Linked DNA regions of Macaca mulatta. The protein of the gene in region 2 interacts with the protein of the main gene of each other region in a biochemical or structural test. Links are inferred from orthologs where the notes say so. Each region holds a gene or a part of one and is shown on either strand. Other genes may lie near its edges. The genes, in order: TRIP10, CDC42, CDC42EP5, PAK1, CDC42EP3, IQGAP1 and PAK2.

What was found.
Region 1: the proteins of CDC42 (region 2) and TRIP10 form a complex in vitro, tested with the Homo sapiens proteins (3 studies listed by BioGRID and IntAct). The link is inferred for Macaca mulatta from reciprocal best matches to the Homo sapiens genes CDC42 and TRIP10.
Region 3: the proteins of CDC42 (region 2) and CDC42EP5 form a complex in vitro, tested with the Homo sapiens proteins (2 studies listed by BioGRID). The link is inferred for Macaca mulatta from reciprocal best matches to the Homo sapiens genes CDC42 and CDC42EP5.
Region 4: the proteins of CDC42 (region 2) and PAK1 form a complex in vitro, tested with the Homo sapiens proteins (11 studies listed by BioGRID and IntAct, with this or other methods). The link is inferred for Macaca mulatta from reciprocal best matches to the Homo sapiens genes CDC42 and PAK1.
Region 5: the proteins of CDC42 (region 2) and CDC42EP3 form a complex in vitro, tested with the Homo sapiens proteins (2 studies listed by BioGRID). The link is inferred for Macaca mulatta from reciprocal best matches to the Homo sapiens genes CDC42 and CDC42EP3.
Region 6: the proteins of CDC42 (region 2) and IQGAP1 form a complex in vitro, tested with the Homo sapiens proteins (6 studies listed by BioGRID and IntAct). The link is inferred for Macaca mulatta from reciprocal best matches to the Homo sapiens genes CDC42 and IQGAP1.
Region 7: the proteins of CDC42 (region 2) and PAK2 form a complex in vitro, tested with the Homo sapiens proteins (4 studies listed by BioGRID, with this or other methods). The link is inferred for Macaca mulatta from reciprocal best matches to the Homo sapiens genes CDC42 and PAK2.

What each region holds. Positions count from the first base shown.
Region 1 is NC_133424.1:7,604,940-7,608,439, forward strand, and holds part of TRIP10 (cdc42-interacting protein 4), read left to right. Parts: intron 1-616; coding exon 617-764; intron 765-846; coding exon 847-909; intron 910-1,148; coding exon 1,149-1,253; intron 1,254-1,349; coding exon 1,350-1,478; intron 1,479-2,197; coding exon 2,198-2,344; intron 2,345-2,443; coding exon 2,444-2,638; intron 2,639-3,500. UniProt on the Homo sapiens protein: Required for translocation of GLUT4 to the plasma membrane in response to insulin signaling. Required to coordinate membrane tubulation with reorganization of the actin cytoskeleton during endocytosis.
Region 2 is NC_133406.1:218,932,870-218,936,978, reverse strand, and holds the start of CDC42 (cell division control protein 42 homolog), read left to right. Parts: upstream 1-1,309; 5' UTR 1,310-1,347; coding exon 1,348-1,452; intron 1,453-4,109. UniProt on the Homo sapiens protein: Plasma membrane-associated small GTPase which cycles between an active GTP-bound and an inactive GDP-bound state. In active state binds to a variety of effector proteins to regulate cellular responses. Involved in epithelial cell polarization processes.
Region 3 is NC_133424.1:66,777,911-66,780,618, reverse strand, and holds the end of CDC42EP5 (cdc42 effector protein 5), read left to right. Parts: intron 1-1,686; coding exon 1,687-2,133; 3' UTR 2,134-2,208; downstream 2,209-2,708. UniProt on the Homo sapiens protein: Probably involved in the organization of the actin cytoskeleton. May act downstream of CDC42 to induce actin filament assembly leading to cell shape changes. Induces pseudopodia formation in fibroblasts. Inhibits MAPK8 independently of CDC42 binding.
Region 4 is NC_133419.1:77,772,864-77,776,363, reverse strand, and holds part of PAK1 (serine/threonine-protein kinase PAK 1), read left to right. Parts: intron 1-582; coding exon of another isoform or gene 583-642; intron 643-2,214; coding exon of another isoform or gene 2,215-2,267; coding exon 2,268-2,387; intron 2,388-3,500. UniProt on the Homo sapiens protein: Protein kinase involved in intracellular signaling pathways downstream of integrins and receptor-type kinases that plays an important role in cytoskeleton dynamics, in cell adhesion, migration, proliferation, apoptosis, mitosis, and in vesicle-mediated transport processes.
Region 5 is NC_133418.1:87,264,273-87,268,435, forward strand, and holds the start of CDC42EP3 (cdc42 effector protein 3), read left to right. Parts: upstream 1-1,363; 5' UTR 1,364-2,102; intron 2,103-4,163.
Region 6 is NC_133412.1:80,370,156-80,373,655, forward strand, and holds part of IQGAP1 (ras GTPase-activating-like protein IQGAP1), read left to right. Parts: intron 1-94; coding exon 95-235; intron 236-331; coding exon 332-416; intron 417-1,493; coding exon 1,494-1,726; intron 1,727-2,666; coding exon 2,667-2,799; intron 2,800-3,500. UniProt on the Homo sapiens protein: Plays a crucial role in regulating the dynamics and assembly of the actin cytoskeleton.
Region 7 is NC_133407.1:2,356,721-2,360,220, reverse strand, and holds part of PAK2 (serine/threonine-protein kinase PAK 2), read right to left. Parts: intron 2,553-3,500; coding exon 2,504-2,552; intron 2,025-2,503; coding exon 1,912-2,024; intron 313-1,911; coding exon 195-312; intron 1-194. UniProt on the Homo sapiens protein: Serine/threonine protein kinase that plays a role in a variety of different signaling pathways including cytoskeleton regulation, cell motility, cell cycle progression, apoptosis or proliferation.

The DNA.
Region 1 (3,500 bases), on a different chromosome or scaffold from region 2:
GTAGCTGGGATTACAGGCACATGCCACCATACCCGGCTAATTTTTTATAATTTTAGTAGAGACAGGGTTTCACCGTGTTAGCCAGGATGGTCTTGATCTCTTGACCTCAGTATACCATCTTTAAAAACTGGAAAATTCTGTGTTCCAAAATACATTCGAGGTCCAGTGCAGTGGCTCACACCTGTACTCCCAGCACTTTGGGAGGGTGAGGCGGGAAGAGGCGGAGTTCGGGGGGATTGGAGTTTGAGACCTCATCTCAAAAAAAAAAAAAAAAAAAAATTAGTCAGGTATGGTGGCGTGTGGCTGTGGTCCCAGCTATTTGGGAGGCTGAGGTGGGAGGATCACTTGAGCCCAGGAGTTTGAGGCTGCAGTGAGACACGATTATGCCACTGCACTGCAGCCTGGGTGACAGCAAGACCCTGTCTCAAAAAAAAAAAAAAAAAAAAAAAAAAATTCTACTCAAAGGTTGGGGTTAAGGAATATGGACCACAACTTGTCATTGCTTCGAGGATTAAATTCTTGGGGCTTAACCCTTTTCCACCTGGAGGTGCGTCCTGGGGCATCAGCCTATTTGGGGGGCCTGACTCCCTGTTCCCCGATTCTCATCCTACCCCAGATTCAGCCAGCAGCAGTCCTTCGTACAGATTCTCCAGGAGGTGAATGACTTTGCAGGCCAGCGGGAGTTGGTGGCCGAGAACCTCAGTGTCCGTGTCTGTCTTGAGCTGACCAAGTACTCACAAGAGATGAAACAGGAGAGGAAGATGGTGAGGAACTCCCCTCCGATTCAGGTTTTGGGAAGGGCTCCTGCTGGAACCCTGGCGAGCCTTATCGCTCTTCTTTCTGTAGCACTTCCAAGAAGGGCGGCGGGCCCAGCAGCAGCTGGAAAACGGCTTCAAACAGCTGGAGAATGTGAGTTTGCAGAGGTGGCAGTGACTGTGGCCCGGAGGCACGGGGGTCAGGGTTGCAGATCCTGGAGTCAGGGACCTGCCCTCTTTGTCAGACCTGGTCCTTCCCTGCCCCATAGGCTTCTAGTACGCCCTTGTCCCCTACTTACTGGTTGACATCCCAACAATCCCTGAAACCTTGGTTTCCCACCCTGCTGTCTTTGGGAGGGTGGCTCCCTCACTCTGGTTCTGTCCCCTACACAGAGTAAGCGTAAATTTGAGCGGGACTGCCGGGAGGCAGAGAAGGCAGCCCAGACGGCTGAACGGCTAGACCAGGATATCAACGCCACCAAGGCTGACGTGGAGAAGGTGTGTGAGGGGGTGGCGGGGTCTGGGACAAGCTTAGGGGGTCCGGGTGGGACGTGACCAGAACCTGGTAGTACCTTCCACCTCCTCATTCCTCAGGCCAAGCAGCAAGCCCACCTTCGGAGTCATATGGCCGAAGAAAGCAAAAACGAATATGCAGCTCAACTGCAGCGCTTCAACCGAGACCAAGCCCACTTCTATTTTTCACAGATGCCCCAGATATTTGATGTGAGTGCTCCCAGTTCTCAGACCTACCTTCCCAAAAGCCCCCAAATGTTAGCCAACTCCTGCACATTCGTCAAAACCCCAGCTGCAATGTCCCAGTCCCTAGATTGAAAGGGAATCAGAAACCTATCATAACAGCGAGCTGTGCTTTTAATCAGCTGTTCTTCCTGCTGGGCATGCCTTTTACTTGTTTGTTTATTTACTTCTATAGAAAGATGGGGCCTGGCTCTGTCACCCAGGCAGGAGTGCAGTGGCGCAATCCCAGCTCACTGCAGCCTGGAACCCCTGGGCTCAAGCAAGGTTTCTTTCCTTTTGAAATTCCTACTTATTATTTTAAGCTCCACCTCTAACAACCTCTCTGAAAGGTCTCGAATTTCCCCTCTCCTGTTTCAATCTAGCGCTCCATTCTCTGTCCCATCCCAGGCCCTGGAAGTATCAGGGCTGGTTCTGCTTTTTCTTCAAATCCCTGCTCCTTTGTCTCCTCCTTTGAGAAGCCTTTGCTGACCCCCTAGGCAGGCGTCCCCCTCTGAGATCCCCCTGGCACTGTGTCGCTCCCCAACCACACTGGGCTGGAGTCTCTTCTCTTCCTGACTCTGTCTTCCCCTCCAGACTGGCTTGGGGTTGGGGCCAGCGTGGAGTGCGATCATATTTGCAGAGTGAATCACTGTGCTTCTAGTCCCTCTGTTAGCACCCCTGAGCCACCCTTGTCCCCGTCCCTACAGAAGCTCCAAGACATGGATGAACGCAGGGCCACCCGCCTGGGTGCCGGGTATGGGCTCCTGTCGGAGGCCGAGCTGGAGGTGGTGCCCATCATCGCCAAGTGCTTGGAGGGCATGAAGGTGGCTGCAAATGCTGTGGATCCCAAGAACGTGGGTGCCTGGTCTGGGTCCAGTGGGTCATGGGAAGGGCGGAGGGAAGTCCCCATACGCTGGTCACTTGACTACTCATCCACTGTCCCCCTCCCCCAGGACTCCCAAGTCCTTATAGAGCTGCACAAGTCAGGTTTTGCCCGCCCGGGCGACGTGGAATTCGAGGACTTCAGCCAGCCCATGAACCGTGCACCCTCGGACAGCAGTCTGGGCACCCCCTCGGAAGGACGTCCGGAGCTCCGAGGCCCAGGCCGCATCCGCACCAAGCGCTGGCCCTTTGGCAAGAAGAACAAGGTGGGGGCCGGGACCCTTGGGATGGTGGGGGAGAAGGACAGTGAGGTGGGGACAGCGGGGCCCCTGTTGAGTCAGCCCCAGCCGCCTGAACGCCGAGTCCCGGGCAGGAATTTTCCTCTTGGCTGCCAGCCCGGGCTGGAGGGAAGGAAGGCGGGCGGGCCGCTTGGCCTGGGAGTCCCCCGAGGCGAAGGCGGGGGCAGGGTGGGGAGGTCTGTGGCGTTTGTCTGCTGCTTCTCGGGATGCTGGGAGAAAACCTGCTGGTGGAATTCAGAGCTGGCCTGAGGGCTGGTAACACCATCCCTGGGGACTTCCCGAGTTTCTCTCTCCATCCTGCTGATGGGACTCCGGGAGCTGCCCTGCACGTCCTGGTTTCTTGGGTTTTTGGATTTTAATATACCTTAGCACCCTTGGTTTATACCTTTGATTTATACTCTGGGTCCCTCTTGACTTACACTCTCATACCTCTCCTTGACTTCCACCTGCGATCCCCGAGCTTAAACCTCTGATGCCGCTAACCCCTCTCATTTTCCTGCCTTCCACTCCCTCTCAGCTTGTGGTTTTATTTTTGTTTATCTTTTGTGTCCTCCGTGGCCTCACACCTGTCTGAGACCTCGATTCCTGCATGCGTCTTCTAGACTGTCAGCCCAGAAAGCTAAGTGGACAGAGAGACATGGGCCTCCCTGCCTCCTGGACCCATGCTTGCTCCCGGACATAACATTCCAGAGACCTAGGAGATACCGGGGGTGTGAGAGTTCTGGCTTTTGGGCTTACAGTTTAACGTCCTCCCCGCCACCTTCCAGATGTTTTTGTGTCGCTCCTGCATGCGTTTTCTCTGTGTGATTGTGTATCTTGAGTTGTGGTT
Region 2 (4,109 bases):
CTGCACTCCAGCTTAGGGTATGGGAGTAAAACCCTGTTTAAAAAAAGAAAAATATACTGCAGATAATTTTGATGAGGAACGGGAGAGTGTGTATTTCCTGTAGGTTACTCACACTAGTGTAATTTCGTGTTCTTGATTTTTGCATCCTTTCAACAACTCGCAGTGTGCCAGTCTAGAAGTGCTCAGTGCTAGAAGTATAGTGGTGCTTGAGGTACTATAGGTTCATTTACAGGGATGTTAATAGGCGTTTATAAATTGTTATGATTAATTGTTGTGAATGGTGCTATAGGAGCATGGTGGCATCTGACCAAGAGTTAGGTGGTTCTGTATTTTTATGTTTAATTAAACCCTTTTAGGATTATAATTTAAATTAATTTACATATAAATAAATCTTAAAATTTAGGTATATATTGGGTGGTATTTCTTTTTATTCTTTCAGAAAACTGTTAAAGTATTTCATTGAATCTAAGATTCCAATTTCATAGAAGTCAAAATGTGGGGGAAAAATGGCTGATAATGATTGTAAGAGACTCAATAAAGATACATTCTGACTTTAGAGATGTTTAAATGAAAAAAAGTTTCTCAAATTAATGACTCTTTGGTACTTGTAATTGATAACTTCTTAAAATTGAGGAGAACTCGAATAAGAGAAGCTGTAGTATCTGTTTATAAGTCAGTATGCTTTAGAGCAGTCTGACTTTTCATTATAAAAATGTAGGTTTTGGACTAGGCATTCTGGTGCTAAAACAGCTGCTGAGGCCAGCGATCACCCTGTTCTTTGTTCAGTTCCTCACGTTACTCATATAATTCGTGTGAGGCTCTACTGCTTGTTGGTCAGAGCCTGAGTAAGGCTGAGTAAGGCTGGATAATGAACCATTCTTTAAAGCGGTGGCCTTTGTATTGCAGTCTAGTTCACATACATGCATACATACAGGTGTGTGTGCACGTGTAACCGAAGAAAAGCTTTCACAAAATAATATTTAGTACAGTATGTGGAATTTTCTCTGATACAGTCTCTTCTTTTTCATTATAAAAATAAATTTGCTGTTTATCACACCAGTTGGGACCTTCTGAAATAACACTTAAGAAGTTGAAACAGCCAGGGATCAGAAACTTAGAAATGAACCTTATTTGTTATTGTAACTTATAGCAAGTCATTGTTTCTCTTATTGGGTTCTTTTAGCCATAATAATTGTGCTAGTTCTTTTCTTGCTCTGAGTGCCTTAACCTGTTGCTAAGTGAGGAAAAAAAAATACATATATAAGCATAAACAAACATGTCTTTAATCTTTTTGCAGGTCAACATCAGATTTGAAATATTTAAAGTGGATACAAAACTATTTCAGCAATGCAGACAATTAAGTGTGTTGTTGTGGGCGATGGTGCTGTTGGTAAAACATGTCTCCTGATATCCTACACAACAAACAAATTTCCATCGGAATATGTACCAACTGTAAGTATAAAGGCTTCTTTCTGTTAGTAAAATGTAAAATTTGATACCCTTTTGAAAATTCTTTCTCTGTGTGTACTGAATTTTTTTCTGTTTTCTGCCTTTGTTTCCTGTTTTTAAAGATCTTGACTTCTCATGGGTAAATTATATACACTTTAAAATTAAACAGCTGAAAAATCAGTGGAAAGTCAGAAGGGGTGACACAAGGGTTTACAAGAAGTGCTGGGAGGCAAAACTCCAGTAGACAAGATTCTAACGAGTGGTGATCTCAATTTGGTGAAGTATGCCCTACATCTTGGAATGAGGTGACTTTTTTTTTTGGATATTTTGGCCAGTTATTGAACAGTACTTGGAGGTCTCCTGGGATACCATTTGGGGTCCTGTAACTTGAGAGAAAGTTGTATGTGTCTCCACTTTTCTTGTGGAACTATTCTCTTAGCAGTAATGGAGCTCCAAACTGGTTGTTAGGGGCAGAGAAGAGAAGACCTGTTATGTTATGAGAATACCAACAGAAACCTTTGGGGGTCACCCCCCACAACCTTTTTTTTTTTTTTTTTGGAGACGGAGTCTCTATCGCCCCTTCTATCTGGAGTGCAGTAGTGCGATCTCGGCTTGCTGCACCCTCCGCTTCCTGGGTTCAGGCAATTCTCCTGCCTCAGCCTTCTGAGTAGCTGGGATTACAGGTGCCCGCCACCACGCCCAGCTAATTTTTGTATTTTTAGTAGAAACAGGGTTTCACCATGTTGGCCAGGCTGGTCTCGAACTCCTGACCTCAAATGATCCACCCGCCTCGACCTCCCAGAGTGCTGGGATTACAGGCGTGAACCACCATGCCCGACCCCACAGCTGTTTTTTAAATCAGCTCTTTGGAATGGGAGAAGGAAGGTGGGAATAACAAAGATATTGAAGTGAGAGAGAGAGAGACAAGAGTTAGAGTAACACTCATTTGTGAAAGGTAGTGAGACGCTGTCTCAAAAATAAGTAAAGTTGTTTATTTTGAAGGGGGGAGAATTTGAAGGTATTATTAAACACTAAAATCACATTGATATTTTGAATTGGCCCATTTGGAGACAAGATAAATGGAAGATGTTGTGAGGTTCAGTGGACTTACAGGGGACGTTTAGAGGTATATGAATCTTGTTTCAGAGTGAGGACAGCTATCAGAGTTTTTCTGTTTTAGTTTCCATTGAAGTTGTTTAACTTGTAAACATAATTTCTGAGTCTTTTATGACTTTGATCTTCTGGTGTTGTATTTTAAGTGGGCTTGTGGGTTTTTTATATGTATGTTTGTGTGTACATCTCTGGAAAAGTGATAGGGTGGAAGGAAGAGTAGTAGAATAAAATTTTAAATGAGCCGATTTAGGTAAATGAATGGACCATGAGGCACAAATAATGTTCTCATGGTACCTGTTGAAGTTAGTATGGAAATGGATTTGGTGTAAAATGCATTTTAGTTCCCATCTATAAATTGGAGCTTGCCGTTTCTAGAGTAATAGAAATTCAGAGTTGAATGGGACAATACATACTGTCTTATCCATCGCTTATGGATGAGAGTACTCAGGCCCAATTTAGGGATGAGACTTAGAAGTCTGACTTTAATTACTTAGTGTAATTACACTAGGGAAAGTAGACTTTGGAATGGAAGCCAGCTTTTCTGATTCTTAGTCTGGTTTTGGATATGAACAATCCAGTAAAGGAGGGTTGTTTTTGAGTCTCTTAAGTGCGATTTAAGAAAGTTATGTGTTTGGTTTGAGAGCTTAATCACATTCATTCGATTTCTTTGTTCTTGTTTTTAAGAACGAACTTTCCTTTGTCATCTCCCTCAGGCCCTTGCTTCTCTTCTTCTTTACATTTAAATAAGCTCTTGAGCAGTCTGTTAAAACATAAATCAGAAAATCAGAGTAGGTACCCAAAGGTTAAGTAGGGCTGGTCTTAAAATGTGGCATTCTTCTCCTAGTTGGAAAGCTTTGCTTTTCTTTTTATATATATCATTTAATTTTTAAATTTTTATTGTAAATTGACAGATTATAGTTGTATATGAAAGCATTGCTTTTCTATTGTAAATTAATTCTAAAGACTCCAGAATTTGTGTTGGGTCTTTTCCCATTTAGCATTGTTAAACCTCCCATTTTCACACATAACTTAGTACAACCAATATTAGTATATGCTGTACTGAATTTGATAAGGGTTTTATGGTCTATTTACATATTAAGCATCTTGTTACAGAAGATGTCTCACATCATGCAGTTTGTGCCCAATAACATGAATTTTACTCACAAAATTCCCAGCTGGCCAGTCGCAGTGGCTCACACCTGTAATGCCAGGACTTTGGGAGGCTGAGGCAGGCAGATCATGAGGTCAGGAATTTGAGACCAGCCTGGCCAACATAGTGAAACCCCGTCTCTAAAATTTTCTCTAAAAATACAAAAATTAACTGGGTGTGGTGGCATGCACCTGTAGTCCCAGCTACTCAGGAGGCTGAGGTGGAGAATCGCTTGATCCCGGGAGGCAGGTTGCAGTGAGCTGAGACCATGCCATTGCACTCCAGCCTGGGAGACTCTGTCTCAAAAAAAAAAAAAAAAAAAAAAAAATCCCAGCAAATAATCTGTCAGCCTTTTCTTGGACACTTTGAGTACTTTGAGGGAACCGTTATTTCTCTC
Region 3 (2,708 bases), on a different chromosome or scaffold from region 2:
CCTCCGCCTCCCAAGTTCAAGCGATTCTCCTGCCTCAGCCTCTCAAGTAGCTGGGATTACAGGCATGCACCACCACAACCAGCTAATTTTGTATTTTTTTTTTAGTAGAAACGGGGTTTCACCATGTTGGTCAGGCTGGTCTAGAAGTCCTGACCTCAGGTGATCCACCTGCTTCAGCCTCCCAAAGTGCTCAGATTACAGGTGTGAGCCACCGTGCCTGGCTAGGGAATTTGTATTATTATTATTTTAGAAAACATAAGACATCATAATATTAGGTTGTAGTCTTTCAAGATCAGGTACAGTTGTCCCTTGGTAGCAGTGATGGGATTGGTTCTGGGATCCCCATGGATACCAAACTCTGAAGATGTTTAAGTCTCTTATATAAATGCCCTAGTATTTGCATATAATCTATGTACATCCTTTCCTACACTTTAAATCATCTCTAGATTACTTATAATGCATAATACAATGTAAATGCTTTGCAAATAAGTGTTATATTGCTTGAAACTTGTACTCGTTTTTTTATTACTGTATTTTTCCCCAGTATTTTTGATCAGCAGTTAATTGAATCTGTTGATGCGGAACCCACAGATACCAAGGACTGTAATTCAAATCATAAAATGCACCCTAGGCAAAGTCTGCCTGGGCCTCTTCCTTGTGTGCCTGGTGGGCTCTAGGCAGGATCTGCTTTGCTCAATGGACAAAGTCAGCCCTGTCTTCAGAAAAGGAGCCTGGGAATTTCCATCTTTGACAAGCTGGAGTTTTCTTTTTCTTTCCATTGAGCCAGGATTTCACTCCTGTTGCCCAGGCTGGAGTGCAGTGGCCAGTGCAGTGACACAGTCTCGGCTCCCTGCAACCTCTGCCTCCAGGGTTCAAGCGATTCTCCTACTTTAGCTGGGATGACACGCATGCGCCACCATGCCTCGCTAATTTTTGCATTTTTTATAGAGTTGGGGTTTCGCCATGTTGTTTAGGCTGGTCTCGAGCTCCTGGCCTCAAGCGATCCGCCTGCCTCGGCCTCTCAAGCTGGGATTACAGGCGTGAGCCCCCGCACCCGGCCCAACAAGCTGGAGTTTTCTATCAGTCAAGTCTGGGAAGCACTCTGAAGGGTTTGTGAAATATTTGTTATTTGGCCTCTAGGAAGGCTCGAGTATTCGCTCTTAGGAGGATCGGCATAGCGTGGTGGTCATGGGAATTCTGGAGTCAGGTTAGGAAAACCTCGATCCAAATGTGAGTTCAGCAGCTGTGCCCATGGGACCTCCTGGAGTCTCATCTTACCCCATCTGTGACACGGGAGGCCGGGCGCGGTGACTCACGCCTGTAATCCCAGCACTTTGGGAGGCCGAGGCGGGCTGCTCACCTGAGGTCAGGAGTTCAAGACCAGCCTGGCCAATATTGTGAAACCCGTCTCTACAAAAATACAAACATTGGCTGGGTGTGGTGGAGGGTGACTGTAATCTCAGCTACTCGGGAGGCTGAGGAGGAAGAATCGCCTGAACCCGGGAGGTGGGGGGGGTTGCGGTGAGCCGGGATGGCGCCACTGCACTCCAACCTGGAGGACAGAATGAGACTCCGTCTCAAAACAACAACAAAAAAAACGGGAGCTGTCCCCCATGGTCCTTTGAGCAGTCTCGCGGCTGCGAGCCCCGGGCTGGGGCCTCGCTGACCCTCCCGTGCCCCTCGCAGATGCCCGTGCTGAAGCAGCTGGGCCCCGCACAGCCCAAGAAGCGGCCGGACCGCGGCGCCCTGTCCATCTCCGCGCCGCTCGGCGACTTCCGGCACACGCTGCACGTGGGGCGCGGCGGCGACGCCTTCGGGGACACCTCGTTCCTGAGCCGCCACGGCGGCGGGCCGCCCCCAGAGCCCCGGGCGCCCCCCGTGGGGGCCCCCCGCTCCCCACCACCGCCCGCCGTCCCGCAGCCCGCGGCGCCCTCGCCTGCCGACCCGCTTCTGTCCTTCCACCTGGATCTGGGGCCCTCCATGCTGGACGCGGTGCTGGGCGTCATGGACGCGGCGCGCCCGGAGGCAGCTGCCGCCAAGCCCGACGCGGAACCCCGCCCCGGGACGCAGCCCCCCAAGGCCCGCTGCCGCCCCAGCGGGGACCTCGAGCTGGACGACGTCATCGGCCTCTAGGTTCCCCCATTCCCTGCGCCTTTCCCGCCCGGCACCCCACTTCTGTATACATAAACGTCCAAGGCGTGTGCCCGGGCTCTGACTTTTCACTTTGCACGTGGGAAGGGATGAATGATAGGGTCCTGGCGCCTCTAAGAGCCGGAGGTGTCACCGGGAGATCTGGTCCGGGTCGGATGATTGCCCTGGGGTGGGGTGCGGCTCCTTTAAGAGAGCCCGGGGGCGAGGCCAGGCGGTGCCGCTTGCAGAGGCGGCCGCTCCCGCAGTCCCGTTCGTCAAATACTGAGCGCCACCGCTGGCTGCACTTGGTCCTGGGGCCGGGCCAGACTCAGCCACCGCAGAGCCCGCCGAGGCGGGGCTGCCGATTGCTGTAGCCCCGGGAGTCCTGGGCCTCCACGCCTCGGGTGGACTCCGACCGGGCGGGGCTGCCCTTTACTCTGGGAGCGGCTGCAGAGGGAAGTGTCTGGGAACCCTTTTAGAGCAGTCGGGGCCTGGTCTCCGTGGGGGAAGGGTCCGCTGGCATCTTGGTTCTTTAAGGTCCCAGAAGGATGGGGCGAAACGTGCAAATGATTTGGACT
Region 4 (3,500 bases), on a different chromosome or scaffold from region 2:
CATGGCTTGCTCCCTTAATTCATTCAGGTCACTGTTATATGACATCTCATTAGAGAGGCTTGCCCATGCCTATGGTATCTAAAATAGTGTCTCCCCACCCCCCAACCAATCTCTGCTCCTATGTGGAGCAGAGACTTTGGTGATTGTTTTTTACTCTATTCTCTTCTAGAATGTAAGTTATAGAACCAGAGGCTTTATCCGTTTTATTCTTTATTTAGCCCCAGAGCCTAGAATGGAGCCTGGCACACAGTGAATGGATGGATGGATGGCTAGATGGGTAGATGGATGATGAATAGTGGAATGTGTGGCTTTTGTTTGAAACAGAGATTTGTGATTATTAGACATAATGATAATTTAATTGATTCCTTACATCTTTCTAGCTCTTTACCATTTTCAGTGATTTTATGTTCACTTTGCCTCATTTCATCCATTTAATGGCCCTCTGAGGTAGGCAGAAAGCTGTAGTCATTATCCCTATTTTATATATTAAAAATGTGAGACTTAACTTAGACCCTTGCCCAAGGACACAGGGCTAACAAGTAAAAATCTAGGTAATAACCTAGACCTTTCTCTCTCTGACAGATGTTATTATCACTGCCCAAAGCTATCACCTATGGAAGACAGAATCTTTTACTGAGGAAGGTGATGAAATCCCCTTCTCTACAGTTTTATAAAGCAAACAAACCTAGTGTTTATAGTATACATCAGGGGAGCTCCAGGGCTACCTGATGATGAAGAGCCTTGCTGAGTCAACTTTATTCCCACATTAGGTTTTTAGTTAAATTTTGTTGACTAGTGGGGAGAAAATAAATTAGAGCAGAAAAATATCGAAATACATATTTTGACAGGGAAAGAACCTCTCTTGAGTTTTGGAACTGAAAACGATTTAAGGTCATCCCTCAAATTATAACACTCCTCTTCCTTCACATTCCTCAGGTGATTAAACTTCAAACCAAGAAGACAGATTTATTGCCTGTGGTCACCACAACTGCTTATATATGCCCAGCACTGTCAGTTTTTAAGTTATGCTTTGTGCTGGAGGCCCTGTTAAAGTCTATGAGAGTGCCAGTTTTTCCTACTTTTGTATGTCAAATGTGGTAAAAGACAGTCTTCCACAGTCAGTAGCTCTAGTATATTATTCCTTAGTTCTTCCATTTATCCCGTTATTCTGACTCTTGACCTTCCTCTTAGGAGGCTCCAGGTGTCAGGCAGGAGGGGCTCTCATCCTCTGTCTATCGCCTATACCAGATGGTCACTACTTTAGGACATGGACCATCTTTTTCATCTTTGTACATTTATGTCAACAGTATCAGTCTTACTGAGCACAAAGTAGGTGCTCTGAAAATACCTGAAACTATTGAATTATATCAGTATATATTAAAAGATCCCCATTGCCTCTCTGGTTCTTTGCTGACCAAATGATAGAATCATTTGGTCTCTATCAAAAATCTCATGTTTTGGAGGCATTTTGTCTCTTAATTCTGTGTAATAAACAGTAATGGCATGCTATTTTTGCCTGGACCTGCCCTAAAACCTGCCACTCTTGGCCCAGCTCTGTTACAGTTTGCATGGGGAAATCAGGTTGTCACAGATTGTGAGCAGATCTAATTAGTGATAAGTTCCATTCCAGGGTAGGGCGGAAGCTTAGGGAAATAGTATCCAGTCTGGGGAGAAATTCATTGTTCTCTTTAGACAACATGATCCTGATGCTGATGTTCTTTATCTTCAGGTTGAGGTGAGGACCCCTGGTGACGTAATGGGTCCAGGAAATTTTTGCAAAGAGAGGAAAAGGACAGGGCAAAAGCCTGTTTAGACTGCCATTTACCATATCAGGAGAGAGTAAGAAATTATAATGATGAATTTTGAAAAATTAGAAACTTTTGATCCCTTCCCTACATTTCATACTTTATTTCCTATTCAGTATGGAGAGCAAAATTCATAGAATAAGAAGGTACTGTGAGCTTGTCTTCAGGGGTTGGGTTGGGGGAGAGGCAGGTAGAAAAGCTGTAAGCTAGCTTCCCATTCACAGTTAGGCTTTGGGTGGGAGAAGGAAGCTCCAAGGGATTGAGTGGATATGATGGCTAAGAGAAGAGGGAGAAACAGATTGAGTTTCTGAGACTAGCTACACGGAGGTGAGAGCTTGGAGGCTAATGTGGATTTCAGAAGGGGTATCAGGTTGGGGTTTCTCCCTGGGGGGTTTGGTGATCCTGATAGTTAAGTTCCATGGCAGCTGGACCAGATGCATCTTGCTTTTCTTCTTTGCACAGAATGTGAAGGCTGTGTCTGAGACTCCTGCAGTGCCACCAGTTTCAGAAGATGAGGATGATGATGATGATGATGCTACCCCACCACCAGTGATTGCTCCACGCCCAGAGCACACAAAATCTGTGAGTCTTTGGGACCTGGACAGTTTTGTGATTTATTAGAGTAAGTGGGGAGAGGGAGGAGTTGGTGCTAAGACCTAGAAATTTAATATTCTGGTAGGGGTCCTTAGATTTTGGAGCTGGTGAAATCACTGAACTACCTTGACTAAAGGTACTTTCTGTATGATTAAAGACAAAAAATGGTGTATTTATTTATCATCGGTTTGTAGATAGTCCCAAAGTGTCCTATGTAATTGATGTTTATACCAATCCAGTCTTGGTTTGCTTAGCCTGTTCTCCACAGATAGGACAGGAAGATATACAGGATTGATGCTACTTAGTGCAGGACAAACATAAATTATTCCAGTCTCCAGGGAAGCAACAAATTGTCTTGCTACAGATCTTTTCTTCTCTGTTAAATATGCAGCATTGAGCCTCTTAGAGCATTATCGATAATACTGAAAGACCCAAGAGAATTTATAAATACATTAGCGCTATTAATATGCTGGGCATCAGGAGTGCATTTTGATGCCGGATGTTGGCAATGATTTCTGTTTAACTTTCTTTGAAGTTCCTGCATCTAAGAATAGCCATAGTCCCTCTACCCTTGCTTTGAAAAATCTAGTCCCCGTGCCTTTTACTTAATTTGGCATCACTGAGCACTGACCTGCCATCAGATGATACTCTACTAGTGTTTCTTTGTTTAGGTCCATAATGAAGGAACCATCTAGCACTTCTGTGATCTTGAAAATAAATAAATAAATAAATAAATAAGGGCTACCTCTGGAATACGGCATTCAGGGAGGTGTTCGAACAGAAATTGGTTGAGTGACTATTGGAGATGCTGTGGAGGAAATTCAAAGGAATTATATGACCTTTTAAGATGAGAACTTATAAACAGAATCTGTGGAATCATTTTCTCTGTAGGTCACAAAGTTACCTTAAGGGAAAATGGGCTTCAAAATTGGAGAGTTGTTAACACTGATACGTTTTTTTTTATTTGTAGGCATGTTCATTTAAAACATTTTTTTCCCCACTAAACCATGAACACCTCAAAAAGTAGAGGAAATCCATATATATGTATTTCTAGTGTTTAACATAGTTCTTGGCACCTGCAGAGGTGGGTAAATATCAGAG
Region 5 (4,163 bases), on a different chromosome or scaffold from region 2:
AAATAAAGTACTTTTAACAGCAGCTAACAATAGATCACATAAAAAAAATTACATACAAGACATGTGTGTCAGGAATGTCTTTATGTGTTCAAAGGGAATTTTTCATGTGGTATTTTATACATATAATACACACATATTATTTGGGCTTATAAAATACCATATGTAATGAAAACTATGCATAAATATTTATAAAAATACCTTTTTCTAAGTAGGCCAGCAACATTTAATATTTTTCAATAAATTAATATATAAAATATATACATTAGTGCCAAATGGAACATATAATTTGAAATATGAAACCCAAGTAAAATGCTCAGGAATCTGGAGTAGAATCCAGGTATCTGCCAAAGGAAACTTTGGACGAGTTGTCTTTTGAAGAAGGGAAACAATGCTGGGTCTCTTATCTTCATGGACTGTTTTGCTTGTCAAACTTCTAACATCACTTCAGCCGAGTTTCTTATTTGACTTCCAACCTCATGGCCATTTGACCTGCCAACTATTATTTTTCTTTGAAGCTTTTAACACCCCACCCAAGTATTTTGCTTTCCAGATTGTGTCCGTTTCCTTTTCACTTCACCTTAAAGTCAGCCTGGGTTTACAACATCGGCTTAAGGTGCACCCTCTAGGGTTTCAGACAGACCTAGAGGACCGCGGTGATGACTGAAGCTAGGGACCTCTCGGCAAAGCCAAGGTGCCCGGAAAGTTCTCCGCGTTGTGCCGGGATTTCCATCCAACCTGAGAGTCTCAGGGCAGAGACCAGGCCCCGAGCATCCGACTCCCCGGGGTCCCAGCCCCCTCCCCAGGCTAATCATGCGGGCTGGGACCTCCCAGCCGGAAAAAACCGCCCTTTCCTGTCGCCTACTCCTTCCCCAGGCCGATGACTCGCGGAGGAGGAAAAGACGGAGGCCGATTAAGAAAATTAGCATTCATTAACCCGGTTCACGCTAGTGCCCCGGCGGAGGGGAGGGGTGCGCCAGTCGGCGGCGCTGGCTGTGGCCCGCTGACCGGCGGGCGCAGGTGCCACCACGGGAGGAATTTTACGGTCCCGGGCCGGCAGCTGCGCCACTTGCGCCTCGTCGCGCGTCTGGGGCAGCCGCCACCAGCTTGCTTCAGCTTTAGGCAAATCCTTTTGAAAGACCCTGAGGGAGAGGAAACGCCTCCCTCTGGACAGGAGAACCTGTAGCGTCTGCTGTTCGTCGCTTGTCCAGTTGCTCAGCCCGGAGCTCCGGCATCTCCAGGGCGCGAAGTCCACGCTCCGGGTTTTGGCTGCAGCTCCAAGGGGAGCGAGCTGGAAACTGACAGAACGCGACCCTCCCCCTCCGCGCCCACCAGAGCACTGGCTGCGAGGGACCTGGGGAGCTGCGGCCTGAACGGGGAGGCGCGCTCAGGTGGCCTCGCTTCCCTGCCGGTCACCGCCCGCCACACCGGAACTTCGCACGGCTAGGTCGGCCTGTTGGGATCGGGAGAGGTGGGCGCACGAGGTTTAGTGCGGGAGTCCGGGGTGCGGGCGGAGTCCTATTGTCCCCGTGCACCCGGGCGGCAGCACCTCCGGGTCCCTCTTTAAAACGAGCGTCCGACGACCTTTCTTTGTGCTTAGGGAGTCGAAAGCGGCGTCTTCTCCGAGGGAAGTCGCCTACTGGGGGGTAGCGCTGGAGAGGTAACAATGGGCGCCCGTTGTCCTCCGAGGGTCCAACGGTGAACCCCCCTGCGCGCGCGCCCGGCTGCCGGTTGGCCCCGGGCCAGGGCACAGGTACAGCGGCCGGGAGGGTCGGCCCCGGGGCCCGTGCCCTCCGCCCCGCCCCAGTCCGTCCCCGCGCCGCCGGCCCCGCCCCGCGCCGCCCCGCCCTCCGCAGGTTCAGTCCTCGCGTCCTGCCGCCCAGCTCTCAGTTGCGCGCACCTTCTCTTGCGGCCGAGGGTCCGCAGTGCGGGGTTAGCCCGGAGACCCGGCCACCGGCCTGGGGCGCCTTCACGCTGTCTCGGAGCGGATAATGCGGTGAGCAGGCACCGCGCCGGCAGACTCGGCTGGATCTGCGCACACCGGCCGGGGCTGCGTGCGCCCGCGGGAGGCCCGGGGCAGCGGCTGGGATTCTCAGCGGCGGCCGGTGAGTCTGGGTAATCCAGGGTTCCTTCCTCTCTACCTGTCTGTGAGTCTGTCCCGCCCGCGCCGTGGCCGCTTCCGGCGTGCGCTGGTGTTAGGCTGGGAAACCAGCAGGGAGCCGGGATACCGAGGGCATCGCTTTCACATCTAGTGTCCAACGGACCGAAGGGGACATAAAGCAAGCCAGGAGTGGGGCGGGCGGCATGACCGGGACTCAGAGCTCCACCATTTGTGCCCACCGCTTTTCAGGGTGGGGCAGCGCGGCCCCATTGCTCCCTCCGAGCTATTGACAGAGCCATTCTGGGCGCGTATAGCATTTTTCCATCTGAGAACAAGCCGCACTTGGCTACCGCGCCCCTCGCGTCGTGAATTGGTACCAGGGCCGCACATGGGTGCATCGCACAGCTCTGCCGTGGCATCGCCTGCCCGGTGCCCTCCTCTTTCTTAATGGAGGACATTGTTAGTGGGGCGCCAACCTGGAAATCTGGATATTGACTTTTTTGTTTTTTGACGGTGAACAGCTGAAACGTTTACAAGGTTTTTTGATTGTAGTTTTCCTCCCTTTCTCCTTGAAACCAAGTGGCTTGACACAGACAAGTATCAGACGTGAGGACGAGTGGATCTGGCCAATCGTTTTTTCGTTATGAATTATTATACTCTATCCCCCTCCGACTTTGGGAGGCATGTGTTTCATCTTATAAATAGAAAGTAGCATATTTTTTGGCAGGATCTCCTTTATACTGTGCAGTCTAGGAGAGGTCAGTTTAAAAATAAATATGCACTTGAATGTTACATTACCGAGAGCCAGGCTGTGGCTGGGACAAGCTGCGTGGACAGCAGCATCAAAGCCGGGAGCGCAGCTGTGTTGAAAGGAGTAAAAGCCCCAGAGTGCAGCGCAGGCTGACAGTCAAGTAATTACATTTTGTTTAAAAAAAAAAAAAAAAAAAGTGAGCGAATTAAAATGAGGAATGTCAGGAGGGTATTGCAACATGAATCTTTCCAGCCCTGGCGTCTTTGGAGGAGTGGGCTGCTGGTGTGTGCTGAGGGTATGGGGGGCTCTAGGGAGGGAACTGATGAATGTGTTAGGGAGACAAAGATTCCGTTCCCATCTCCCAGATCTTAGTTCCCACAATATCCCAGAGTTTCTGGGGAGTACTCCCATTTAAAAAGAACAAAAATTAGGAGAGCAGCAGATGTCTGTATTTTAATAGCAAAGCCAGTCTTAGGGACTTCCTCTTAACATCACAGGGAGAAAAAAGACTCGCCAGGAACCAGGGATGATGCCCCAAAGGTATACCTAAGAGAATTTAAACGACTCCTGTAATGTTCTAACTTACACAAGAGCTTTCATCTTAAAACCGGGAAAAATGTACCTTCTCTTCTTTTCTGGACAGTCCCAGAAGTCTATTATTTCATACCCCCTGCAATTTGTGTGAGTTCTTATTGGTAGTTAATAAGCTACACAGGTAGGTGTGTGATGCATACCCTTTTCAGAATAGATTTAGACCCTCAGAAATAAGTTGGAGTAGTTGTGAAATATTTAGCATTTTCATGTATCATGAAATACGTGATAAAGGCCTTTTATATAGTCAAGGAATGGTGGAAAGTTCTTCATAGTCTCCCAAATAATGTGGGTTTCCCAGTGGGCCTCACCCATTGAATAAGACAGCGTCAGCCTCTGAGTTCACAGATAAGAACTTTAGAGGAGAAATTTGGAAGCATTTCTGGATCCATGGCAGTTTCTGTTTTCCAGTGGTATCATCTGCTAGAGATTTACATGATGAAGTCTATGATTAGAACGTGGTGCTGAGGCTGTGGCAGCAGCTACAGGCTTGAAATAAGATGAGCTCCTCTTTCCCTCAATCTGAGCAGTGAAATTGTTTCGCATATCTCTATGGAACAAGTAAAAGCAGCTAGAGTAATGCGTGTTGCACACTTTTTGCTTTTTATTGTACATTTAAGTGTGGTGCAAGATGAGTAATACAAAGCCGTAACAATGATTGCAGAAGGGCTCACGTGAGTTCATTTGCCCTGTCTGCCCTCCAGCCTTTCCTTTAATGTGGTG
Region 6 (3,500 bases), on a different chromosome or scaffold from region 2:
CTGGGTCTTTCAGTTTATGAAAGATAGGACACTTGCTTCAGGCTGTTCCTGGCTGTTAGTCTAACATAGTTGGGTATAATTTCTCTCTTCCCAGCAAACTGCCCTATGATGTGACCCCTGAGCAGGCGCTAGCTCATGAAGAAGTGAAGACACGGCTAGACAGCTCCATCAGGAACATGCGGGCTGTGACAGACAAGTTTCTCTCAGCCATTGTCAGCTCTGTGGACAAAATCCCGTGAGTGCCATCAGTTGTCATGACCCCCAGTAGAGCCCAGCAGTAAGTGCCTTTCTGCTCCTTGGCCCTTCTCACTAAGTTTTGTCCATCCCGCAGTTATGGGATGCGCTTCATTGCCAAAGTGCTGAAGGACTCGTTGCATGAGAAGTTCCCTGATGCTGGTGAGGATGAGCTGCTGAAGGTAAGAATCTGATAGCCGGCAGACTCCTGCCCTTTGAGGACAAAGCTATAAAAGCAGGACTGACCGTAGATCATTACTAACTGCCTAAGTGTAGGTTCTGGCAGTAGCTTGCCATTGATTGTGAGCTTTTGAAAACAATTGTAATTGGTAAATGATACCTCTCTTAGGATGAAACACTTCCTATAGTTTGGCGCACAAACATCAAACAAGTAGAAAGATGGATTTTTCCTGTTTTCAGATGAGTTTCTTTGAGTCCTGTCTTTTCGCTGTAGTATTGTTCCCTCTGCTGGTGACCTGGCAAATAGTAGCAAGCACAGTTATTTCTGCTAAGGCTGTTGCTGATAGCTCTTTCTTACTCAGCTGTGCTCTTCTCTTTTCTTTTTTTTTAATCTGAATGCTTTTTTCTTCTCTCTCCTAGTTCTGTGCTTTCCTACAGTGAGGCCTCGATTCTAGACTTTCTGTTCAGGTGAATTAATTTTATTTCTTCTGAATGAAACTCTAGGGGAAATGCTGTGACTGTCCCTGAATTCTTCTGTGGAACAGATGTGTGTTAAGTGAATTTAATTTCAGAGGCATGAACTTGGCCTTTGAAGTCTGCAGCATGAGAATGTTGGGAGGTGGGGTTACTCTATGCTGATTGGGTCATGTTAAGGAATTTAGCTATGTTTGTTAGCTTTTTATAAGGAAAACCCATCTACATGAAAGTACAAAGTGCACGTGGGTGACACCAGCCTTATTTGCTACCATGATATGTGAACAAAAGATGTCCTGAAATACTTAATAACAGACTTTAAGTGTATCATTTTTACCTTCTGAATCTGCTCTTTCATTAACTACTGGCAGTAGTTTTCAGTTCTGTTCTCATTGTTTTCCTGTATTGAACAAAGGGATATTTCATTTAGTTCCAGGCCATGAGAAAGAGTGTGTATATGTGCATGCGTGCATGTGTGTATGTATTTTTTATTTATTTTTTACTCATAGGACTGCATTTTCTGCTTTTCTTTGCTAGCAAAGTCATTTGTGGCTTACTTGGTGGTATGTCTTTTAATACCCATCTTTCTGTTTCATCTGTTCCAGATTATTGGTAACTTGCTTTATTATCGATACATGAATCCAGCCATTGTTGCTCCTGATGCCTTTGACATCATTGACCTGTCGGCAGGAGGCCAGCTTACCACAGACCAACGCCGAAATCTGGGCTCCATTGCAAAAATGCTTCAGCATGCTGCTTCTAATAAGATGTTTCTGGGAGATAATGCCCACTTAAGCATCATTAATGAATATCTTTCCCAGTCCTACCAGAAATTCAGGTAAGGGGAAAGGCACAAGTGCTTAAGAGAGTCTGTGGATGTATTTTTATCATTGAGGGAAAAGATAAGATTAAAAACCACCCCTCACTTTCCCTGACTGCCATATTGTAGAAGACATGTTTGATGTGCCCGGGACTCCAGAAGATGATCGATGTACTTTGAAGAGAATTTTCTTTTTTTTTTTTTTTTTTTTTTTGAGACGGAGTCTCGCTCTGTCGCCCGGGCTGGAGTGCAGTGGCCGGATCTCAGCTCACTGCAAGCTCCGCCTCCCGGGTTCACGCCATTCTCCTGCCTCAGCCTCCCAGGTAGCTGAGACTACAGGCGCCCGCCACCTCGCCCGGCTAGTTTTTTGTATTTTTCAGTAGAGACGGGGTTTCACGGTGTTCGCCAGGATGGTCTCGATCTCCTGACCTCGTGATCCGCCCGTCTCGGCCTCCCAAAGTGCTGGGATTACAGGCTTGAGCCACCGCGCCCGGCCGAGAATTTTCATATGAAATACATAGTAGTTAACACTTATGAAATAGATAGTAGTTAACATAAAAATAATGATGATTATGCATTTAGTACGTTACCTTGTAATCAGAGAAGAATTGGAGAATGCTTTTAATTTTTGTAAATTAACATCTAGTTTTGAATGCTTCAGAGCACTGTCTTAGAGATAGAATTGGTTCTCCTAATGGTGCCTGAGAACAGTTTTAAATCATGGTGCAATGGTTCTTAAGGATAAAACTAAAACTACAAACTAGGTGGAGAAAGAAGTTATTAGAGCCAGTATCCCAAGGTTGTCAAGCACAGCAAACACACAGCACTTTCTCTTGAAGTAACTATATTGACTGGCTTCTGTTTGCACTCATTGTGTGAGAGGTTTGTGAAATGTCCTCTTGCCAACTTCTCATGCATATGTCCCTTTTTGGGGGGCTGCTTCCTGTGCTTATTTTAGACGGTTTTTCCAAACTGCTTGTGATGTCCCAGAGCTTCAGGATAAATTTAATGTGGATGAGTACTCTGATTTAGTAACCCTCACCAAACCAGTAATCTACATTTCCATTGGTGAAATCATCAACACCCACACTGTAAGTATTTTTCTTTAATTACTTAATTTCATTGTCTTTAATTATTATCCCTGGCTGCTGGTTATCATCTCTGGTAGCCAGGTGTCTCACCTTCCTGTGATCTAACTGACGTGCATCTCCTTGATGTCTCTTTTTTTTGCTTGTTATTCTTTTTTATTTATTTATTTAGAAATGGAGTCTCACTCTGTCGCCCAGGCTGGAGTGCAGTGGTGTAATCTCGGCTCACTGCAAGCTCCACCTCCTGGGTTCACGCCATTCTGCCTCAGCCTCCTGAGTAGCTGGGACTACAGGCGCCCGCCACCACGCCTGGCTAATTTTTTGTATTTTTAGTAGAGACGGGCTTTCACTGTGTTAGCCAGCATGGTGTCGATATCCTGACCTCATGATCCACCCACCTCGGCCTGCCAAAGTGCTGGGATTACAGGCTTGAGCCACCACGCCCGGCCTTTTGCTTCTTACTCTTAACAATATCTACTGCTAGGTTTCTAAAATGTCTTCCCAGGCCATCTGCATCAGAATCCTATGGGCTAGTAGTTAAAAATGAAGTTTCCTGGAGACCGCCCAGGCCTACTGAATCAGAATCCCACTGAATTGATCTAGTACTTTGATAAAATAGTGCTTTTACTCTTCTTTCTTTTTACCCCAGCCCTCTGTGTTATTTTTCTAACATGATCTAGAATACTAGCTTCTTTCTCTGTGTA
Region 7 (3,500 bases), on a different chromosome or scaffold from region 2:
TTATCTTATACCTGAAGGAAAGGGCTGAAATGCCTGTGTAGGATGAAATGGTATGGGGATGGAGTAACTTGTAGAGAATGTGTACAGAGAAAGCACTTCCCACAATAACAATTAACTGTGCAGAAAAAGTTCCTTTTGTTCACTTCTTGCTAACCACATATCACCATAACGTATCAAGGAGGAGGCACACCTACCTCTCTGCATACAGCAGCAATCTGTGCTTCATCCATGCAGGTTTCTGTTACCACATCAGTGAGCGATCCACCAGCAAGGTATTCCATGACCACAAACAATTCATCTCCTACCAGGTAACTAAAAATACACATACCAAATACACTCACACTTACATTTTTTCTAAACACATGGTATCCTATGTTGAAGAATTCAAATATTAAACACCCTAACAATGAAACTAGAGGGCTGGTAGCTTGAGAGTTAGGAAGAAAATTGGAAAGCTGCTATGTAACAGCACAGAAAAATAACTGAGGTTATGACCCTGAATCATTTTTAAGTTACAGTTTGCCCACAACTGTAGTGTGAGTATGCACACAGATTCATTCTGATTAAAATAATCCTACAATATAGAAATTACTAGTCCCGTTTTAGAGATAAAGAGACAAAGGCTTGGAGAGGTTCGTGACTCATCCAAGGTCACATAGCTATTAATAGTAAGTGACAGAACCAGAATCTGAAGCCAAGCATCAACGATTCCAAAGCCCATGGCTTATCTTAACCACCCTACTATGCTGACTTGAAATGTTATTTCAAAAAGCAGGGAACTGTACCTGAAAAGTTTATTTTTTATTTTTTTTTGAGATGGAGTCTTGCTCTGTTGCCAGGCTGGAGTGCAGTGGCGCGATCTCGGCTCACTGCAACCTCCGCCTCTTGGGTTCAAGCAATTCTCCTGCCTCAGCCTCCGGAGTAACTGGGACTACAGGTGCGTGGCACCATGGCCAGCTAATTTTTGTATTTTTAGTAGAGACGGGGTTTCACCATGTTGGCCAGGATGGTCTCGATCTCCTGACCTCATGATCCACCTGCCCTGGCCTCCCAAAGTGCTGGGAGTACAGGCATGAGCCACTGTGCCTGGCCTGAAAAGTTTATTTCTATGAACATGTTCTCCATAACTAGGGCTAAAGTCTCGAAATGTATTATCATTTCCTTATTCTAAACAAATTTAAATATGGAAGAAAATCACCTATAATCACCTCTATCTTCAATAAAACCACTGTTGTCATTTTCAACTAATCTTCTCTCATTCGTATATGTGACTGCTTTTTCAAGCGCAGTTGTAGTAATATACATCATTTTCTTTTTTTTTTTGAGAAGGAGTCTCACTGCGTTGCCCAGGCTGGAGTGCAGTGGTGCGACCTCAGCTCACTGCAACCTCCACCTCCCTGGTTCAAGCGATTCTCCTGCCTCAGCCTCCTGAGTAGCTGGGATTACAGGTGTGAGCCACTGCACCTGGCCAATATGCATCATTTTCTATTCTGCTTTTTGGTCTGTTATTTAACATTAATTCCTAAACTAAATGAGGTTTTGATAGACATACAATTTGTCCATAAAGGATAGCATTTGAAATAAAAATTGATCTACAAGTTTAAAAACCATATGACCAGTCCCCTGTCAGTCACGACATGAATCACAGCCAACCATTCATGTTTTCACTTCAGGTCATTTGCAATGAATATAAACACCACCAGCTATGGCCTTCATTTAACTGCCTTCTCTCACTTGCCAAGTGATATCCTTGTAGAGAAGGACCTTCTAAAACTGCAGTGTGCTATTTTTACCTCTCCTCTTATTTCTCAGCATTGACAGTTTATTCTAAAGTGGCTAGCCAGCCCCCAAACCATGAGACTTAAAATTTCTACATTTTTATCCCAATGTTTAAGAAATAATCATATTTACCTGTCCAAGAAGTTAACTATGTTGGGATTTTTTAATTCTTTCATCACCAGAATCTCATTAATGATCAATTCCTTCTTTGGCTGTTTCTGTAAATTAATCTGTTTGATAGCAACCTATAATGAAAACAGGATTGAAAAAAATCAGGTTTACGAATTCTCTTAAAAAATTACAAACACCAAGCAGTTAATAACTTACTTTACGGCATGTATATTATATTATACAATGCTATTACTCATAGGTGGTACTTTTACTTGCACATTGCCTCTGCACAATGCTTTGTAATGTATAGAGCCTAAACAGTTTTAGATTTATCTTGAAGTTAATACACCCACAGTCAGTCCAACACTAAGAATTAATCCTCTTTTCACTTGAGCTGAGAAAACAATTTTTAAATACTTGCTTATTTATGACATTAAACTCAAAATTCCTTCTTTGTTCCCCTTAATGACAGAAGTGCTATAAAAACACGTAGAGCAATCCTTACAACATGTTCAACTTAAAAGAGAGTCCTAGTGATTCTTCCCAGCTTTATCTAGTTTCCACCTATATGACAAAATAATGGTAACATCCAGGATTATGACAAAGTAGCTACCTCCTGTCCCAATGCAACGTCAGTAGCAGTGAAAACTGTACCAGAAGCCCTAGAGGGAGAAAACAGCCAGATTTAAGGTTGACAAATCACCAGCATTTACAATATCCAAAGACTTTACACTTCAAGCAACTGAAAAAGAATTAAAGAACAGTGACGACCTAACATGCTTAAAAGGAGTAAAAGCAAAAACACGAGGAAAGGGGGTGGGGGAAGAAAAAGAGACAATCCTCATGGCCAAAACTTATGTTTGAAATATTTCAGACCTACAAAAATGTAGGGAAAAAAGATCAAGAAAAAATATATGTAACATATACTTATGGATACACTTCCCTGATTAAGATACAAAGAACTATAAATAATTTGAAGATTCCCATGAGCCCTTTCCAACAGCAGTCTCCTTCCTCCCAAAGGTGATCTGTATTTGGTGTTTATCCTGTATTTGATGTTCATCATTTTCATGCATTTCTCCATACTTTTAACTACAAAGGACACAGATGTTTATCCCTATAAAATATACTTTGCCTAATTTTTTTTTTTTGAGACGGAGTCTCCCTCTGTCGCCCAGGCTGGAATGCAGTGGCACAATCTCCACTCACTGCAAGCTCCGCCTCCTCCCAGTTTCACGCCATTCTCCTGCCTCAGCCTCCCTAGAAGCTGGGACTACAGGCGCCCGCCACCACGCCCGGCTAATGTTTTTTGTATTTTCAGTAGAGATGGGGTTTCACCGTGTTCACCAGGATGGTCTCGATCTCCTGACCTGGTGATCCACCCGCCTCGGCCTCCCAAAGTGCTGGGATTACAGGCGTGAGCCACCGCGCCCGGCCTGCCTAATTTTTAAAGTCATATAGTTTCATTTCACATATTATCCTGCAACTTGCTTTTGTTACTCAATACTGGATTTGTGATGGTCATCCATATGGATAGGCATTGCTTGTTCATTCATGCTCAAAAATAATAAGATAATCTTCAATTCTCTTTCACAAAACCAGTGCTGCAA